Linked DNA regions of Mytilus edulis. The protein of the gene in region 1 purifies or fractionates together with the protein of each later gene. This does not show direct contact. Links are inferred from orthologs where the notes say so. Each region holds a gene or a part of one and is shown in the gene's direction. Other genes may lie near its edges.

Region 1 (7,332 bases):
AGTTATCATTCAAATGTCTAGAATGGTTTATTTTCATTAGATTTGTCTTCTATAAAATGACATATAAATCATCAAATATTCAGTTATCTTCAAGTCAGTTGAAAAATAATGGTTTAAACTTTCATAATTTACTGCCATTAAAACCCTTTCCTCTCAATAAAACAAATCATCAGGTTAAAAGTATAAATGCATTGCGAAAAAACAAATGTTTCATCAATGAAATTCAAGTCAGATATTCTCATGAATATCCTTTTTATATTAGATACAATTTTTTTCAAGTCTGATAAAGTTTTGTCGTAGGCAATATATTTGAACTGAGGCACTACACAGGCGTTGAAAGGCGTCATTATGGAGGAAAGATTTAAAAAACAAGGCATTTTTCTAACATTTTAAATTTGCATTGTAATTCCTGATCACAGGAAATAGCTGATCAATTTTTTAAAACAATACAATATTTTGCCAGTTATTTTTATTTTCTTAATCTGTGGAATAAAACATGACTATTTTGCAATTTTCTCAACATGTTTTAGTTCAAGACTGAATACACTTTCAATAGAAAAAATAAAGGCCCTTAAAACACACTTTTGGTATGAAATAAAGACTTAAACATAGTCATTATACATGCATGAAGATTAAAGAACAGTTTTTTTTGTCAACTATGTATAAATAAACAGTTCTTAGAATATTTCAGAGTTAAATAATATAATGGAAATGCTGTTAATATATACCTTTTATAAAATAAAGCTTACACATCAACATACAAAATTAACATCGAGTGAAAGGTTAACAAAATATATATCATCTAAGAAATGTGATGAAAAAAAATAATAATGTACAAAATTTAAATCATGTTATAAATGTACAAATTTCATGAATTGGAAACTAGTCATTTTACAGCTTAATATTATACAGAGTTATTTTGTCCCCTAGATCCAAGAGATATATGTTTGACAAATTTCTTGGTTTCTTTTTACTGCATCTATAAAGAGCAGCATGAAAAAGAATATGGTTTGTCATAGAAATTTACACATGGCATATTTTTTACATTAGTGACCATAAAACTGAATGAATAGAAACAAAAGTGATGCTGTCAATTATTGGAGTTTAAACTGTATCTATGTAGATTCAAAGAAGATTTTTTTTTTAAAAGCAGATTGCCTATAGTAGCAAAATTATCACAGAAAAAAACTTATACATTGTTTATATTGATAAACATTTACAAACATTATTGAACTAAGGTCATGCTTCATATGCTTTTAAAAAAAAATCATTATTTTACGAAATATCAGCGAAATGTTGCTACTTTTTTGTTCTGGTTTGAAATAAAAGTATGTTGAAGTAATAGTTGGGCCAAGAAAATGTTTTGATAATTTTTTTGGGATTGTATTATTTTAAGTGAACTGTTATGGCGTATTTGATCCATACTTCAATTAGTATGGTGTCGGCAATCATTATGATGTTGAAATTTTAAAATGGGGAAACATTTTCTCCACAAAAACTCATAAAATAAATGTGATAACTTAAATTTTGTGTTGTTTTCAGTCATATTATTACTAGATAATAGATTGTCCTGTAATTATTAGAAATAAATTTGTCATATTCATAGATATAAGAAGATGAGGTATGAGTGCCAATGAGACAACTCTCCATCCAAGTCACAATTTATAAAAGTAAACCATTATATGTCAAAGTACTGTCTCAACACGAAGCTTTGGCTCACACCAAACAGCAAGTTATAAAGGGCCCCAAAAAATAATTAGTGTAAAACCATTCAGACGGGAAAACCAGCAATCTATATAAAAAACAAGAAACGAAAAACAATTATGAATCACATCAACAAACCACAACTACAGAACATAAGAAACCTGACTTACGACAGGTGCAATCAATTGCCGCAGGTTTAAATGTTTGAATGGTACCAAACCTAAACCTGGCTCACACCGAACAGCATTAAGCTATATAAATTATCAAAGGTACCAGGATTATAATTTAATATGCAAGACGCATACATGAGACTCATCAGTGACACTCAAAATAGTTAAAAAGCCAAACGGGTACAAAGTTGAAGAGCATTGAGGACCCAAAATTCAAAAAAGTTGTGCCAAATACGGCTAAGGTAATCTATTCATGGAATTAGAAAATCCTTTTTTTTTCTCGAAAAATTCAAAGTTTTGTAACAGGAAATTTATAAATATGGCCATATATATCTTGTCAACACCGAAGTGCTGACTACTGGGCTTGTGATACCCTGTGGGACGAAACGTCCACCAGCAGTGGCATCGACCCAGTGGTGTAAATAGTCATCAAAGGTACCAGGATTATAATTTTATCCCCAGACGCGTCTCCTCTACATACGACTCATCAGTGACACTAATATATATAAGCCAAATGACGTCTTCAACACCAAGCCTTGGCTCACACTGAACAGAATTAAGCTATATAAGCCAAAGTACGTCCTTCAACACGAAGCCTTGGCTCACACCGAACAGCAAGCTATAAAGAGCCCCAAAATGACTTGTGTAAACCTATTCAAACAGGAAAACCAACAGTCTAATCTATATTTAAAAAAAACGAGAAGCGTGTATGAACCTCACCAACAAATGACCACCATTGAACAACATGTTCTTATCTATTGGTAATGTTGTTCCACAGAGTAATTGCTATTTGACAGTTTGATTATTTGGAGTCTGGTACTTACCTGGGTGCCATCATCATGGTATTCATGGCCATATATATCTTGTCAACACCGAAGTGCTGACTACTGGGCTTGTGATACCCTGTGGGACGAAACGTCCACCAGCAGTGGCATCGACCCAGTGGTGTAAATAGTCATCAAAGGTACCAGGATTATAATTTTATCCCCAGACGCGTCTCCTCTACATACGACTCATCAGTGACACTAATATATATAAGCCAAAGTACGTCTTCAACACCAAGCCTTGGCTCACACTGAACAGAATTAAGCTATATAAGCCAAAGTACGTCCTTCAACACGAAGCCTTGGCTCACACCGAACAGCAAGCTATAAAAGGCCCCAAAATGACTTGTGTAAACCTATTCAAACAGGAAAACCAACGGTCTAATCTATATTTAATTGAGTGTCTTCTGAATAGTGTGGTAATTGTCCAAATTCCAAATGATGATTTTGATTGAAAAAAAGTGGTCTTTGAATTTTTTGAAATGTTCAGATATATCAGCTTGGATAATTTGCTTCAGCTTAGAAAGCTCTGATTTCGAGAAGCTTGGGGTTTCTGCAATTACTTTTTGAATCAGCTGATACAATAAGAATAACAATGTAAAAAAAACTTAAATTAGCTTAATCGATCCTTTGATGGTATGTTCTGTAATGCAAAATATGCATTTTTTATAGATTTTTAATGATAACTTGGATTGCATTTTTTCTAACACAAACCATGCAAACGGCTAAGCGTGCATGTGTTTTGATCATTTCTTTCAAACATATGTTTGTAAAGTTTGCATAAACTTTGACAAACTAGGCAAACGATAAAAATGCGTCTGCAGTTAGTTGTTTGTTAGGACACACACTACATTTGTTTCTTACTTCAATCTGATTAAACGAAGTATTTGTTTCTATGCGTTTGTAGAAAGTCTGTTTACCAACAACATGTGCATGCCTTATTGAAGTTCAAACAGGGTCAGTAAAGACTTATTAAACGATGTATTTGTTTCTACTTTTGTAGCGTTTAGAAAACAACAACAAACGCGACACAACATTTACAAAAAGAAATGCGGCCTTCATATTGAAATTTTATTGATCTTGAAAACTTTATTTGAATTCGGCATGATATCAAACAATGAAACCGATTTGACTGAATATGAAAACCTGAGACTACTATAACACATATACCACATAGTGTTATAGTAGTCTCAGATGAAAACATATAAAAAAATGTTTCAAAACATGATGTACATATAACACATAAAGCGATGAATTATCTAAAAAGTAAGGTTTCTGTGAAAGTTTACAAGGAACTGCTGTCTCTCACTGAATCCTAAACATGAGATTTCTAACAAGACTAAACAGAAGGATGTCTGGTATTATTATGTCCCCTTTTTTATAAATGCAACACACTGGGACAATAAAATTATAAGAAATTTACTGATAGAAAAGCTGATAATGAAACTAAACAATTTAAATTGCAAGCTGGTTATGATACAAATAGAAAAAAATATTCCAAGTAAAAAGTAGATACTGTATAATTAAATTATAATAAAAGTATAACTTTTAGTAAGTTGTGCTTTTTGTGAAAGCTTTTACTTTTTTCTATACAGGGAACCAGTGTAAAATTTATGTTAAAGTCGTGCGCTTGCGCATAATCTGAATCCAACATGAAAGTACAAAATGGCGACAACATTCAGCACCGGAACACAGAGCCCAACATCACATAAACCCCTAGAAAAGATTTTCGACGAAGCTCAGTCAACCGGGGCAGTGTGTTTATGTGGCAGAAAATTAAGAGAATATCCAAAGATCTCGTCTAGATATGATTTAGTTGATACAATCTCTGCTGGTGAGTGCCCCTTCGACTTCCCCAGTCAACCAGTGTTTACAAAATTATGTTGGTTTATTGTAGTAAAAAGTTGTCAACCAGCGTATTTTGTATATTGCTAAGCAAATATCATCTTCGTCCCCTCTCATGTCCATGAATTTATATGTTATGGTTATACACACTAAATCCAAATTTCCTTGACAGTCTGGACGTTCCATGATACTGATAGTTGATATCATAATATAATTTTTGGAGTATTTCAAATTGTCTTACTGCAAAATTATTTTATTATTATTTAACTTATATTCATACATGTGAATTTTTGCTGTAGCCTGTTTTATCAGTTAAAAGAAAAACTAGCCACACTGAAACAGGTTTCCCATAAAAGGCTCAATATATAGTGGCCATCAATAAGGCTTTGGAGCACAGCTAAGGTTGAGTCTTGAGAGAGTGGTTTCTCAAGTAAAGCGTATCAAATATAATCATAGATATAGGCTTAAGCAATCAACAACTGACATTATCAAGATGCTTTATTTCTTGATTGACAACATATTTGTGACATTTGGAGAACTTGTTTTTCAACAAACTATCAGGGCCTTTTATAGCTGACTATGCGGTATGGGCTTTGCACAATGTTGAATGCTGTACAATGACCTATAGTTATTAATTTCTGTGTCATTTTGGTCTCTCATGGGGAGTTTTCTCATTGGCAATCATACCACATCTTCTTTTTTTATATCTGCATTCAGATGGGAACTAACTGTGCCCCTCTTCTTGTCGACTTGTTCCTGTACAGGAATTTCTTAAGAAGTTAGAATTATCCTTTAACTTTACTTTCTGATGGAAAGATGATGTGGAAGCAGGAAAAATTGCTGCTTTTTCACCAACTCGTCCCACTTTAAAAAAAATCGGAACACTTGTGAAAAGGGTTGCATGTACATCCCGTAAATTTTTCTCCTGCCAACTTGCCCCACTTAAAGGGGCACTAGCTAGGAGATATATAAAAAATCTTATACATTATTATTTTTGCACAATCATTAGTGAAATGCAAATAGTGAAATAAGATTTCACTTTTAGCACCCAGTATGTACATGTATGGTTCAATTTTGTCAAAATAAGCGACAAAAACATTAATTAATAAGTGATGAATGTGTCAGCGAGTGTGTTTAGCTTGGGTCGGCGTTTTCAATCTCCAAGTCACAATGGAAGAGCGTATATAAATGAAGACTTTCATGACTTTAGAATTGAATTTAAGTCATCAAAATAAAACTATGCCTTTACAGAAATGCCTTCCATCTCAACTTGTTAGCGACAAGCACAGTTTTTAATTAACCCAAAGGTGGTGGAAATTGATTTTGGAGTTACTTCCCCTGTTTTAGCTTATTACAAATTTGTGCTCTAAAAATATTATCTAGTATCAAAAAAAGGAATAAATTACCAATTGAATATATAATAACATAATAATGTTACCTTAAAGATATTAACTGTCTTTGAACATATTAAAAAATATATATTGCAATTTCTACTTGATAATTATACTTTTAGCAATCCATGTTCTAAACATTGTTAAATTAGTAAGGCTTTCAAGTTCATTTCTTACCGACCGTGCCAGGGCTGTATAGCCAGTCAAGGTCGTTAAACACCACCATATATATATCAGTTCATATGATGTATTAAAAGCTATAATTTCTATATAGATAAAAAAAAAACAAAAAAAAAAACACATATTCTTTGATAATGGGTAGAGTGAAGTTAAACTGTAAAAACATGATATGTTGATGAAGATGTACTATATCATTCATAACTACACAAACAATGAAATAAAGACTATAGTTGAAAAGCATCTTTATTTAAAAAAAACAACATATACAGTAAAAAAAAAAAAAGAGATTCGTTAACTCGTGATACACACAGAAACGTAGACAAAAAAAATGAGCAGTGCCTTTTCTTATCATAAAAAGTGCCCTGCCCTCCACTGGCACCCTGCCCCTTTTGATTTCTAGCTAGAGCACTGATTATGAATTATCCACTTGCAAGTGAATAATTCAACCTCATTAAATCGGTTTTAATGTGAGCTTCAACTAAACCCCTTAGCTTGAGATGGATAACATGTGAATTGTATGTGTAAAGTTATTTAAAGGAAAAGAATGTCAACATTGAAAGTGAAACAAAGGTAAATCATTTGATTGACTGATTAGATTCACAAAAAAGTCATTGTTACACAGGTAAAAACAATGATAAACATTTATTTTATCATGTGAAATTAAATAGACCTAGAAAAATCCAGCAACATGAGTTTGCTAATTTATTTATATCTATAATATATATATATGTTTACATCGCTTATATGGTCATCAGATGACTTTAGAGGTCAACTCAATAGTTAAGATGGTACCTAACACTACAGGGAGATAACTCTGTAAAATCAGCAAAACTTTTTGATTACATTGTGTGGTTAATGTAATATTAAGCTTCTCAATGATCAGAATAAGTTTTTGACAAACTGCAATACAACAAGTGTATTTTTTCTGATTAAATGGTTGGTTCAAATTTTTATACCTTTGTCAAAGGGTCAAAGTAAACACTATGTTAGAATTGAAATAAAGTTAAACGAGCCAAATTATTTTAGGCCGTGTTCACACCAAACACCGTGTAGAGTAAACATGTTTACAATTAGTTTAGTGTAGTGTGCACTGGTTTCACATTACATTTGTTCACATCTATACACCTTGTTTAGCTACCTGTACATAAGATTTGTTCTCACTTGTAAACTATGTGTCATTTAAATGTTCATTACGTAGAACTGAATTCAAAATTTTGG
Region 2 (7,129 bases), on another chromosome or scaffold:
TAAGTTGTTGTAATTGAAATAAAGAAAGAGATATTTCTTTTATTTAGATATCCAATGGGTCATTTCAGAGTTGTCAGACTTTTCTTTTAGATCATGCAGTGGATATAGAAAAATAAAAAGATGTATGATTGCCAGTGAGACAACTCTTCATTAGAGATCAAATGATGTAATAGCTAGAATTTTTTCGTCAGGTCATGAATGACCTTACAATGTAAAAAATAAGCAAAAACTTTAACCTCCAGGTAAACCTAAAAACTTTTAAATTATATAAGGAAGGTCCATACAAACTGACAATCAAACGATATTATCTATCATACATGTATCGAGTGGAAAACAAATATCATATTAATAACTTTGGCACAGATGTATTCCAGAAGAAAATGGTAGGTTAACCATTGCTTTATAGCTAGCTTTACCTCCCACTTGTATGAGAGATCTTCATACTAAGTTCCCATATATTAACAAAATTGGTTGATTAACCCAAACAGACACAACAAGGAATTAGTCAATTATTAGCAACCCTGAGGTTTTGTAAATATCTAGTGTTGACTGATGTTTGTAGGTGGTACTTTCAATTTGTAAATATTCAGAGAAATTCATACCACATTGCAAGCTGTGAAAGGCCCAACATGACAAATGTATAGCAGTTCTAACAAGAACACTAAATTTTTTATAAGCTGCCAACTAAAAGTTCTAATTTATTCTTGCAACATCGAGGCAGGTGACTGCCAAACGGTGTCCATGCATTTTCTCATGAACTGTTCTACCAAAGCTTCTCACATCTTGTATGTTGTAATGATTCTGATGACAAAATGGATGTCAAGTTTGATATTGACGATTTTTACTTTCACCGTTCAGGAGTTGTTTCTTGACAGATTGAAAAATGGTGTTTGCAGTCATGATCATGCTTTAACTCATGAACCATTCAATCAAAGCTTTTAAAATTTTAATATATGTTGTAACTTGTGAAAAATGAAGGTCAAGTTGAAGTCAAATATTGATGATTGTACATGTCACTTTTACCATTCAGGAGTTTTGATTCTTGTGATATTGAAAAATGCCAGGACACAAATAAAATATGTTAAAACATCCAGTTTTCTGTTAATCTGAAATTCATTGTTTACTTCTGTTCATTATAAGAAGTCTATTTTACAAAACACTTATTTCATGCCCCTGCAGTAGCGGAGGAGCATTATGTTTTCTCCTTGTCCCAAAGTTGGTTTGCGATCTTTCACTTTAGTTTGCCTCAACCACAGTGGTTTCCGTTAAAGTTTGGCAATGGTAGCCAATATATACAGTTAAATACAAGAAAAGCAGAAACTTTAGGAGCCCTGGCACACTAAATTGTAGGGGCCATTGGCAAGTGGGCCCCTGTTAATTCATAGATGCCAACTATTACGATTTTTCCGTAGTTTTTCCGATTTTGCGATATAAACTACGCTATTACGGTCAAAGTCGAATAGTTACGGATTCCCAATCACCGACGTTCAATTTTGTAAAACGCGGATTTTTATCATTACTTTTCCGTCCGGGTCCAGTATTTAGGAAACGCCAATCTAATGCTTCCGGTTTCTCGGGAGTTATCAACCTATTGTTGGGTAACTAATTGACTTCCGAAGAGTCAAACTTGCATTTTATTAAGTAGCTTTTTCCCTTTCTCTACTTCTCCTTGACAAAACAAAAATGTTTGAGTCGAGAGCATCTGAACAATTAATGAATGGAATACATACTACAGACAACATGTTAAATGACAAATTTTAGTGTACATCACTTTGCAACCACTCGTCAGTAATTTTGATTGGTAAATGCACGTTTAATATAAATGATTACTGAAAACTTTTCAAAAATACGGAAAATTTGATAGTTTGTTACTGATTGTGTCAAAAGGGGGTTGGCATCTATGCTAATTTCAAACCCTGCTCAACCATATGTTATATAATTTTATATGCAGTGCTTATTACAGATTCAACCACAAAACACAGATCAAATTTGAATTTTGGTGTCATCATTTTAACCATTCTAAAGGTATATATCCCTTTGCAAATGGAAAAATTGCTGAATTTTTTTCGTTTTTGTTCTCCAACTTTAGTTTGCCTCTACCAAATGTTATGAAACTTATACACTATGCTTATTACCACAAAACACAGATCAAGTTTGCATTTTGGTGGTGTCACTTTCAACCATTCTAGAGTTATGCTCCTGTACAAATGGAGAATTCTGCGTTCTCTTACTTTAGTTTGCCTCAACCAAATGCTACGAAACATATACACAATGCTTTTAACTTTAAAATGCACATCAAGTTTGAATTTGATGATGTCACTTTTACTGTTCTAGAGTTATGCTTGTTTATAATATTGATTGAAACATTGCTGATTTTTTGTTTACCTTTTCTATCTTGAGTTCACCTCTACCAAATGTTATGAAACTTATTCACAACAGGGCGCCATTACACGCCAAAACCACCTGTAGGAAACACTAATACTATTACCTCAAAACTCGGGGGCGGATGCAGGAATTTTCGAAAGGGGGTGTGCTAACCCAGGGCAAAGGGGGGGTGCAAAACATATGTCCCGATACAAATGCATTGATCGGCAAAAATAAAGGGGGGGTGCGCACCCCCGGAACCCCCCCCCCCCCCCCCCTGGATCCGCCTCTGAAACTCAGATCAAGTACACATTTGGGTAGCATCACTTTTATTTTTCTTCAGTTATTTCCCTTTGTAACTTTATAAGATAAGTGGGGGGATCTTCTGTGTCCCATGGACACAATTCCCATTTATTTAATTGCAGATTTGAAAAGCCAGGGGGAGAAACTTAATTTGCCAATAGAAAAGCAAAAGAATCCATTTCGGAAAAAATAATTGTTAAATGATCCCATTTTGTTGAATGTGAATTTCAATAATTAATTTGCAGATTTTTGGCAACTGAAATTTCTATTTAGCTATAAATTGTTACCTCCAACAGGCGCATGTGAAATAATTGAACTGATTTTTGACAATAAAAAAAATGCACACCCAATGTCCCCTTTTTGTAGGACTAAACTGGAATTACACATGTAATTTTTTGTTACCCCAAAAAGTTTTAAAGAATGTACATTGTATCTTCAAATTTTTCCTATTATTGCATTGCATAGGGGGTAAGAACAATTTAGAATTGTTTTATAACTGGTTTTGATGGAATATTTTTCGAATTGCTTCTGAAAAATCCACAATTAATTTTTTTCAATTAGAATTTTTGATATACAATTATACATAATAGAAAGCTCTAAAAAATTTGGAGCTAGAAATATATGAAGTACTGAATTGGAGTTAAATAAAATATATTTACTTTTTTTTCTTAAACAAAATCCAAAGGAATCCTTTCTAAAAAGGAGAAAGCAGACCACCAAGGCCAAATAAAAAAAGTTGTGTTTCCTTTTACCCTACCTTCCCTATTATCAAAAATAAAAAATAGCCTACCTTAAAGTTTTTTGGGTCATTTTTCAATGAGCACTATTAAAGTCAGAATGTCCATCCCATACACTCAATGAAACAAAAATGGTAAAATAAAAAAAAATCTGTACCTACATGTACCCTCCTTTTTTTAGCCCAACCATAATAAAGAAAAGAAAAACACTTCTAGAGATCCCCATTAGATTAATTCAGAGTTTTGTGTTTCATTTGCTGTTTGCTTATATTAAATATATTTATAGAAACTTTTTTTTAGGTACTGGTACTTATACATACCTCCTTTTAGTTCATAAAATTCAAATCGCATGAGCTGTTGATTATCAAAATATTGTAAATAATTATTTATTCGTTATCTAACAAAATATTCAAATTTGTTATAAATACCTGATAAGTGTTATTCAAACTATTTCTAAACAAAATGTTTACATTTTATTTATATATCAGAGCATCTTAACAGCTTTCCTAAGTAAATTAACTGGAAAAATGGTTATTACATAATGTCACACACCCTTAGGGAGCCTCTATATCTCCTCTAGACTTCTCATTACATATTGACCAGACAACATTTTACATCCAGATAATGGATGTAAGAAGGAATCTGATTGGCTGATAACAGTCAGTAACCTCAGGCACATATCATCTTTGATCCAATTATGGCTCCTCTGTCACTGTGTTGTCAGGTGCTTTGCTGTAAATTTTACAGGGACATAAAGTGACCTGAAGTGTCCTTAATTTAACACCTTCATTGCCCTGTATTGGACCATTATTTGTTATGGATTATTTTCTTGTGCAAAAAGGGCTCATTAAGGATGTGAATAATTTGACTGTCTACCATGGAGGTCATTTGAGTTCACAGCACCATAATATGGTCTTACTTCCTTTATGATGGATTTTAAGTGAAGGCCTGGGATCCTTGCAATAGTTTGTTTATTTGTTATTATTGTTGATATTTTATAGAGTTTATTGATATTTACACTGTGCAATACTACTTCTTTGGTGTTCTCAACAAATCAAGATATTATATAAAACATATCTGATGCATTTTGTGTTCATATGGATATATCAGGACTGGCATGTTTTAAAAGTTGCATATAATTAGTGAAAAAAATTGTTTGTCTGCATCAGGAAAACATTGACATACTTTGACAGGACAAGTAAGGATATAAAATTTAATTCTAATGGTTCATGAGGAAAGTGGTGAAAACAAATTATTGGTCATGGATAGTGCCATGGATGATCGTATGTTGTCAAACCGTGGGCACTGGCTAAGACAGGAACAGGAGTACCATTTACAAGCCATGCGTCTCAAACGTTAGTATACAAAACTTCTCTATTTCATTACTATTCTTTTTGTGTTAATGGTTTATACATCACTTGTAGGGTATGCATGTTAGATGTACAGTCATACCTATGTAGGTGTCCTTGACCAAGATTTTGAATTAAATAGCCTCTGTAAAGTGACCAATATCTTTTCTGAATGGGACCATACAAATTTTTAATGGGAGATCAAAAAGTGTAAATTTCTCATTATATTATCAGTTCTGATCTTTTGTATTTAGGAAATCAGGTATCTAGATTAAGATAAATAGTTACCTCATCTTAGGGGATAAGTAAGGAGAACTTACTTATCTATTAATCATCATACATAATGACAAAAACAAATACATAAACAACAACACCCTTCAATCCATTCAAGATTGACAGCAGACACAAGTTGTCAAATTCTTGTATATGACAGAAAACTCCCCTGACAAATATTTATTTCATCTGATTGACCCCAGGGATTTTAATTGTAACATAGAATATAAGTTGCCCTGTGGGGGACCTCCTCAGTCAGCTGATTCATGTACCAGCTGTGTATATATGACTGGTAACATACCACACATACTTTAGTTGGGATGCTCTGATGTCAGATAGTACATCAATACTTTTTTGCAATAGATATAATGTTATCCAGGCATTATTTTTGTTTTCTTGTCTAGACAATCAATTTTAAACCTTAAAATTTAACTTTTACTGTTCATATTTCAATTTGAATGTTTCAGTTCATTAGTCAAGAGTAAGACAATACACATGTTTAAAGAATGTCAGTCTACAATACTTGAATAATCTGGCTTCTTTTGAACATCAGTAATGTAAAGTAAGGAGACACTGAATTCAAAATACAAATCTGAATGACCTTTTTAAACTGCTGAAGATTTAAATTTGACCATTGAACTGAAATAACTACCTACAATTGGCCATAGATGAAGTAATGAATGCTTGGTCAATCTTTATCAAAGGAGCCATGAAATTTCCCATGTGAAAACATTGTATTTTCTTTGTGATTTCACTTAAATTATGTACAAAGTAGTTAAATTAAGTTTATAATTTGTATTGTGGGAAACTCAGTGCTCATTCATGTGTAGCCAGCTGTAAACAATATGATGGAAGACATCTGAATATGTATGGCATGTAAGGAATGTAGAACCAGGAAATATCCTGTCTTTATTAGAGATAAACAAGAATGTAATTTTGATATATTATGTAAACTCAAGAATTTAAGGTCAGGTATTGTTATTAAGACCTTTTCTGTCTTTATACCTAATAAAGCTGCAGACTGGTTGACAAATAAATAATGCAGTTAGATTGACTTTTTAATTGCAAGATCATAAAGAGCCTATAGTATAATCCCTTCATTATCTTGCACTGTACAAACATTGCTGGACAAATTATTGATTTTGAATAAACAATCACATGCAAAACTTTATGTCCACTACATGATCTGGAAATGGTTTTAAAAGTTCCTCTTTTGGACTAAATAGATCAAAACATAATAAAATGTGAATGTTTTCAAAAACTCTTACCTATTTTTTTTCTGATTGAATAAATGACATGATCAGGACCATCAAATTTTGTATTTTTAGCACCAGAAATTCTCTTCGAACATCATATACATTTTCCTAAGTTTTTATAAATCTTCAAAATACTCTACATTATATAATGATTATATTAATTGCCAAGTTCAAAAACCTTGACTACTGGAGTATAATACCTTTCATTTGGGAACCATTAGTCTAGAGGTACATTGTATTACATTGATAGTAAAAGTAAAAAGCACAGAACTAGCTCCAATTGATTCTTATCAAGAAAACATGAAGCAAAGTTTTACGCATTTATTACCAGCTGTTTATTACCTCATATTGCCCATAACTTTTATTTTACACACTTTTATTTCGATATCATTTCAGACCCAATATATATATATAAGTTTACTTTTTGCAAAATGTGACTTGAAAGGAGAGTTGTCTCATTGGCACTCATGCCACATCTTATATCTATATATGTCTTTATATTTTTCCTTAGAATAATAGATCAGTCTCAAACATAAGTTTGATCAACTGAATCAAATGCTCTGACTGCACTTTATGAAATAAATTGAATCTTTTTTTGGATTTAATCTTGCCGGTCTCTTAGATCAGTCTACTTTTATTGGATAAGTGTTTGACTTATTTTGCATGTATATGTATTGTTTTTAATGGTGGTTTAAGTGTACAAATGTCATTACCCCCTAAGACATCTGTTGGTAGTTGTGTTCATGATTGTAGTTTATATTAAGTAAAACCAGATATTGAACTAATTGAAGGGCCTTTAATGTTAGTCCATGAAAAAGTTATATGTATATCCTATTAAATCTGAACA

What was found. The genes of interacting proteins can lie anywhere in the genome.
Region 2: the proteins of leucine-rich repeat and calponin homology domain-containing protein 2-like (region 1) and dual specificity tyrosine-phosphorylation-regulated kinase 1B-like purify together in Homo sapiens (affinity purification with mass spectrometry; 3 studies listed by BioGRID and IntAct, counting the BioPlex papers as one, with this or other methods). This does not show direct contact. The link is inferred for Mytilus edulis from reciprocal best matches to the Homo sapiens genes LRCH3 and DYRK1A.

The regions. Positions count from the first base shown.
Region 1 is NC_092346.1:79,333,788-79,341,119, forward strand, and holds the start of leucine-rich repeat and calponin homology domain-containing protein 2-like, read left to right. Parts: upstream 1-4,299; 5' UTR 4,300-4,363; coding exon 4,364-4,532; intron 4,533-7,332. UniProt on the Homo sapiens protein: As part of the DISP complex, may regulate the association of septins with actin and thereby regulate the actin cytoskeleton.
Region 2 is NC_092348.1:79,382,768-79,389,896, forward strand, and holds the start of dual specificity tyrosine-phosphorylation-regulated kinase 1B-like, read left to right. Parts: upstream 1-4,048; 5' UTR 4,049-4,626; coding exon 4,627-4,759; intron 4,760-7,129. UniProt on the Homo sapiens protein: Dual-specificity kinase which possesses both serine/threonine and tyrosine kinase activities. Exhibits a substrate preference for proline at position P+1 and arginine at position P-3.